2 linked regions of the Macaca mulatta genome follow. Each later gene encodes a partner of the first gene's protein in a complex. Links are inferred from orthologs where the notes say so. Each region holds a gene or a part of one and is shown on either strand. Other genes may lie near its edges.

Region 1 (3,500 bases):
ATTAAAGACAATCAGAAACAAACCATAATTGTGAAGTTCATTTCAGTTCAGGTGACCTTATTTTTACTGAACCTATATGCACATGTGAATATAGATGTAAACATGTACATATTTATATAAGCAGATGGATAACTACATACATATTAATAAATATATAAATAAATATATGTATAAAGCACCCAAGTATTCTTACGATCTTTAGATTACACTAATCTTCTAGAATCAGTGGTCAATTTAAAGGAAAAGCTTTATATAGAACAATAGTTTTATTAGAAACTCTGGAGAATAAAAATAAGATGTCACAATCATCATAAAACAGATATCCCTTCTGCCAGAAGAGAGTGAGTTCTAGTCCAACCGGTGAACAGCAGAGTAAGCACTGGCTGATTTAGGTAATAAAAGGATTATAGAAAAACTTACCTGCAAGTATTACTTTCAAACTGACCAGCTGAAAAGAACACATATATGATGCAGAATGGTTCCTTGAGAAGTGCCCAGTACCATGCCCGAGTTAAGAGTCATCTCAGGACATTTCTATTCACAATGGCAGGTAATAGCCATGCCAGTGCCCCCGGATTCCACATTCTTTTTATTTTTGAGACGGAGTCTTGCTCTGTCACCCAGGCTGGAGTGCAGTGGCATGATCTCGGTTCACTGCAACCTCTGTCTCCCAGGTTCAAGCGATTCCCCTGCCTCAGCCTCCCAAGTAGCTGGGACTACAGGCATGCATCACCACGCCTGGCTAATTTTTTTGTCCTTTTAGTAGAGATGGGGTTTCACCATGTTGGCCAGGCTGGTCTTGAACTCCTGACTTTAGGTGATTTGCCTGCCTCAGCCACCCAAAGTGCTGGGATTACAGGCATGAGCCACCATGCCTGGCTGGATTCCGTATTCTTATTCTACATGCTACTGGACCTACCAGCTTTTGTTGGAACAACTTCCAAAATCAGAAGATGAGTTTTCTGACAATTATTCTTAAGAAAGAAGGACATCCTGAAAGGAGTCAGGCATAATACGAGAAGACAGCCAAGAAGGGGAAACAAAGCTCATTCTCACACACAAAATGATTGCTCATCGCAGTTTGTTGTGGTTTGTATGTTGATTTGTTTAAAGAAAAAAAAAAAAAAAACCCCAAAGAATAAGGCTTGGTTTCTCTATACCCAGAGTAAGAAGTCATTCCTTCAGCAAAAATATGTATGCAGGAATAGCATTTCTGTGAACTAAGAACGTCAAGAAGATGCTTGTTCTTAAAACTGTGGCTTTTCAAAAGCTAGAGTGATCCTGTGGTTCCCAGGAAAATGAGATTGCCTGTTCCCCAGATTAGAGTAAGTTCTGAACAGAGTCATCTCGGCCAGAGAATAGAGACAGTATGCCATAAACCCTCATGAGTCAGCTGGGAGCACACGTTCTCAACCTGACAGCAAGGATAGGTGTTTTATTTTTTTATTTTTATTTTTATTTTTTTTTGAGACGGAGTCTTGCTCTGTCACCCAAGCTGGAGTGCAGTGGCTGGATCTCGGCTCACTGCAAGCTCCACCTCCCGGGTTCACGCCATTCTCCTGCCTCAGCCTCCCGAGTAGCTGGGACTACAGGCGTCCACCACCTCGCCCGGCTAGTTTTTTGTATTTTTTTAGTAGAGACGGGGTTTCACCATGTTAGCCAGGATGGTCTCGATCTCCTGACCTTGTGATCCGCCCGTCTCGGCCTCCCAAAGTGCTGGGATTACAGGCTTGAGCCACCGCGCCCGGCAGGATAGGTGTTTTAAATACAGCAGGAAAGACGATTCACTGGTGTTCAGTATATTTTTTAGAGGATGGGGTACAGGTGTCCCTGTCAACTTAAAAAGGAAGGTTGTCCCTGTCAACTTATATCAGTTTACTGATTTCTATATTATACAATATTATCAAAGCTAATCTTGATGTGTGGGTAAATTTAGATGATTTTTTTTTTTTTTTTTTTTTTTTTTGAGAAAGGGTCTCATTTTGTCACTCAGGCTGGAGTGCAATGGCATGATCATGGCTCATCCTGAGCTCACGTGATCCTCCCATCTCAGCCTCCCAAGTAGCTGGGACTATAGGCACACATCACCACTCCTGACTACTTTTTGTATCTTTTGTAGAGATGGGGTTTTGTCATGTTGCTCAGGCTGGTCTCAAACTCCTGGGCTCAAGTGATCCACCTGCCTCAGCCTCCAAAAGTGCTGAGACTACAGGTGCACACCACTACACCTGATTAATTTTTCTATTTCTTGTAGAGATGGGGCTTTGCCATGTTGCCTAGGTTAGTCTCAAACTCCTGGGCTCAGGTGATCCACCTGCCTCAGCCTCCCAAAGTGCTGGGATTACAGGTGTGAGCCATCATGCTCAGCTTAGTTTAGATGAATCTTTATAGTAGTATATACTAAGACACCGCTGATTATAAGATGTACTATTGATTCACTAATATTTGTTTTCCAGGAAAAAAAACGATTCCATTCAATGCTCACATTGATAATAATATATACCTTGATTTCAGAAATACTAAATGTGGGAAAAAAAGTACATATTAGAATCAAAGAAATGTAATGTGTTTCTTACCAACAGACTTAAAAGTTTTGGGGGATAAGCCAATTTCTGGTAAGTAAGATGAACCCACCTAGAAGAATGTTCTGGCCTTAGAAGTTGTTTAACATAAAATCCAATTCCAGGAAGAAGGGACAGAAGCTTGTAAGGATGGGAAAGGGCAGATGGGCACTTGCTCCAGGTGCATCAGCACCACTTCCCAGGTACCTCTGGGCATCACGCCAGAGGCCTGCTCTTTGGCACCCAGTCAGATACAGACATTCTCAAGGGTAAGGTTTTTATCATTCCTCTACTTACTTCTACAAGGGTCAGCATTCTTAAAGCAATGATTGTCTTTTCCTTCCTCTTCCTCTGTTTGTCTTTTCTTCCCAGGCTGATGTTGGAATGCTTTTCTCAAGACTGGCTTCCTGCCATCTTCCTCCACTTCAATCTCGCAGGTAGGCTCCAGCTGTGGCATTGGCCTCTCTTCATCTGAGTTGTCGAAGGGCTCATTCAGTACTTCTGTCGTCTCTGAAATGGTCTCTGTTGTTACACTGCTGTTGATCCTCCTGCGTTTACGACCCCTTTTCTTCTTTAGTACAAAAGGCCTCTGAAATTAATTCCAAACATAACACATAAGAGCTCATGAGAAATTAAACGGTTGAGTCGACATGCAGTGGACGTGTACTGAACACGTGTCTGAGAATCTTACACGTAGAGACTTCTGTAATGCCTTTGTACTTAACCTTCCATTTGATGTTTAACATCCCTCTCGGGCTCCAACTACACAGGCAAGTGTTTTCCAAATAAAACAGTTGTTTACTCAAGCAGATGCTTTGAGAGGGAACATCCTAGCAGCTTGACGGGAGATTTTAAAAACTAAGCTTTGCTTTTCTAGTATATATTTTCCAAGTGGTACTTGCTGGCTTCAGTACTCCTCACATCACAGACATTTAAGGT
Region 2 (3,500 bases), on another chromosome or scaffold:
TATAAATGCTAAGAGGATACAAAATAGAAGATCTGAGTAGGTGGAGGTTAGATCAGAGAAGCTTCCTGGTGAAGAATCTTACTAGAGTTTTACATATAGGTAGGTGACAGACATGGATGGACAAAGTAGTAAGGAAGGTCTCTCCTGGAACCAAAGGTATGAAAGGGGTAGAAATGTAGAGGCAGAATTAGTGATTCTTTGCTTAGTAAGCAAAACAGGCTGACCAGAACAGAGATGCTGGAGAACTACAAAAGTCAAGGAAGATCCAGGATACAGCTAATAAGAAGCTTCAAATGTAAGGCAAAAGAGCCTTAACTTCACCTGCCTAGAAAGAGGAGTATACTCTGGAAGAGGAAGTAAGAGAATGGAAGAGCAGGACATTGCTCACCTAGGCCTTGCTCCTCTCCATAGTCAGACATTCCTGCCCCAAAGCCAAGCTTATAAAATCAAGAACTAGGCCTTTCCCCAAAGGACAGATCCCCACCAATGTCCCTGCCAAGCACACCTGCCCAGATGTAGGCAGCACCCTCCCTCTACAACCTCTTGGCCATGGAGGATCCCAACAGCATGTGAATAAGAAACTACCAGTTGTAGAGCAAAGAAAGAATTAGAGGCTAGAGATCACCTAGAAAGCTATTGCTGAGATTAAGAGGGCATGGATGAGCAGGAGAGCTGCAGAATGAAGACAAAAAACCATGTTGAGAAAGCCCCCAAAGCAGCTTAAGGGATGATTAACAGTGGCCCATTAGGGAGTAAAGAGTCAAAAGTAACTCCAAGGTGGGGAACTCTTGATATGAGTCAGGAGGGAGGGGAGAGCCATAATGATGGGGAAATAAGTTTACTGAGAGGAAAAAAGATAATTAACGTCCAATATTTGAGTTACAAGTTAACCACATCCACATGGAAACGTCCCTGAGGGACTGATGGCAGAAAAAAGGGACGAGGACAAGACAAAAAGTCTGGAGCTGCTATTATACAGTTATTGTCAATTATGAGAGTGGACATGTTCTCTAAGCAAACAAGCAGATAACAGAGCCACTGGGAATGTTACCATTAAAGAGCAAGAAGTGGGATCAGCATAGGGTATGGTCAGAGAGGTAGAAGCAGCAGGAAATGGTATCACAGAGAAGCTCTTAGACAAAGTGATTTGTGGTGTCAAATGCAGCCCAATGATCAATCAGGTGAGAATATAAGGAAAGACTTCCTGGGACAAGGTAGCTGATGTTTTAGGGGAGGCTTCAGTGAAGCAGGTGGACCAAAAGGTTCAAGGGGGCCAGATACAGGCTTATACTTCAGGAGTTTAGTTACAAAAGGCAAAAGTGAGATCAGACAGAATGCAGAAGGCACCAGACTCACATAAAGCTTTGCTTCATCTCTGGAGCAGCAGTGTGGGAACACTTAAAGGCAGAAGGAATAGAACAGGTGAAGGGGGGAGAAAGAACTAAATAGTTCAAATAAGGGAAATTAGGAGCAAAAAACATTAAACATGCAGCAACTCCAGTTGCTAATGGCTAACATCCACCACAATTGGACAGGCTGTGTGCTACAACTTAGATCGTAAATTTGTGTATTTACTATGAAACATTTTTTGGCAGATGGCAGTATAATGTCTTGAGGAAAGGGCGCCTTTTCCTAATTAACACAATGTGGCCACCCTGGCTCTCATTCAGCCTACTTCTCGCTTTCTGCCACATCTAGAGGATTTTCCCCACATATATGGAAAGCTGGGCGTGCTCTCCACTCTCCCCTAGAATTCTCTACAAAGTCAAGCCTCATCCATTCAGAAGGAGCTGCTTGACGATCTCTATAGTGCTGGGGGTTGTTCCTGGGATGGGCCACCCAGACAGGTAGGCAAAGGCTCCATGGAGGGATCAAGGAGGGATGCCAGCCCCACCCCAACCACCATTCCTTTTCCTTCACTCTCCACCTCCCTCTACCAGTCTCAAATCACCACTGCACCTACCTGCTCAGCATTTCTTTGGGACTGCAGATGGGAGTGCAGGCGCCGGATAAGAGGGACACCATTCCGTGCCTGCCGCTTCAACAGCCAATAGTTGTGAAGCCGCTGCATAAACTGGTTTTTCCTCTGAAAGGAGAGACCACTACAGATCTTGTTCAACCTTAAGTAGAGGCACATGGAAGTGAAAGACAGGGTCAGTAGGCAGCCCAGATTATAGCCCATGCATCCTATCCAGACCCTGGTTCATTTCTGAACCTTATACAGGAAGACAGAATAAAATGGCCAAATACCTCACCTCAGAGAAAAGCTTGAAAAGGACAGTAAAGTTAAGCAGCTCAGATTCAGCATGAGGTATTTCATTTGCTTTTCCACCTCTTGCCTTGCAGTCCTAATCCTCCAAAAGAACCCTCTCCCAGAACCCCGTTTCCTATGGTCCTAGACTTCTTCGTTCCAGGTATGGACTGAGAAACAAGCCTATGCCTCAATACCCCCACCCTCCTCTTATAAAAGCAGCGAAAGGGAACAGGAACTGGGGTAAGCTATGGTTAATGTGGCCACTATTTCCTGCCTTCTGCGGCTGAGAGTCCCATCAAACCAGGGAGTAGCCCACAACCAGGTTGAGCCCAATGCAACCCCTTAGAGTTGTTTGACCTCTGGTTTTTCATGGTATAAACCTCAGCAGCCTAAAAATGTTAATTTTGAACCAAATGAAAAAAAAAATTGGATCTAAAGATGTAAGAGGATGGGAAATGTGAAAATGCAGCTGGCTAAACTACTCAAGTCTTAAGGTCAGGGTTTAAGCCAGTAACTCCTTGGGGGAGGAAAGGGTACGAGAGGAATTAATGCAAGCCTATAATATCTGTCTTTAATATCCATATTGCAAGGTGGGTATCATTATTCCCATGTCACAAAAGATGGAAAGGCAGCATAGGAACAGAAGCTGAATAAACTGTCAAAATAACTAATGCAGCTAATAAGATGGTGGATCTGGGTTGGACCTGAATCCACGATCTCTCTGCTATACCATGGTACATCCCCAGACTGGTTATCCACAGGGTAAGCAAGGCCTCAGTGCTCCTGTGATGTTTCCTCTCCTTTTTTCTCTTCATGCCACTCCATTGAAACAAAGATAAGCACAGCTAAACAAGTTGAAACCTTAGAAGGATGGGCATGTTGGGCACGACATTGCTCACCTAGGCCTTGCTCCTCTCCACAGTTAGACATCCCTGCCCCAAAGCCAAGCTTATAAAATCAAGAACTAGGCCTTTCCCCAAAGGAGAGATCCCGACCAATGTCCATGCCAAGCACACCTGCCCAGATATAGGCAGCACCCTCCGTCTACAACCTCTTGGCCATGGAGGATCCCAACAGCATTTGTGCGGGTAGGGAAAAGAATAGTAATGATAAAATAGCAGCAGCAGCAGCAGCCACCATTTATTGAGCACTTACTATTTGCCAGACACTGTGCTAAGTGCTTTACTTATATTATCTCATTTATTTCTCACAACAGCTCTATGTGGTGGGTTCATTTACAAATAAA

The links. Proteins that work in one complex are often made in the same cells at the same time.
Region 2: KAT6B (region 1) and BRPF3 share a complex: the UniProt entries of both Homo sapiens proteins name them as parts of the MOZ/MORF complex. The link is inferred for Macaca mulatta from reciprocal best matches to the Homo sapiens genes KAT6B and BRPF3.

What each region holds. Positions count from the first base shown.
Region 1 is NC_133414.1:74,586,995-74,590,494, forward strand, and holds part of KAT6B (histone acetyltransferase KAT6B), read right to left. Parts: intron 3,151-3,500; coding exon 2,859-3,150; intron 1-2,858. UniProt on the Homo sapiens protein: Histone acetyltransferase which may be involved in both positive and negative regulation of transcription. Required for RUNX2-dependent transcriptional activation. May be involved in cerebral cortex development.
Region 2 is NC_133409.1:146,049,677-146,053,176, forward strand, and holds part of BRPF3 (bromodomain and PHD finger-containing protein 3), read right to left. Parts: intron 2,121-3,500; coding exon 1,964-2,120; intron 1-1,963. UniProt on the Homo sapiens protein: Scaffold subunit of various histone acetyltransferase (HAT) complexes, such as the MOZ/MORF and HBO1 complexes, which have a histone H3 acetyltransferase activity.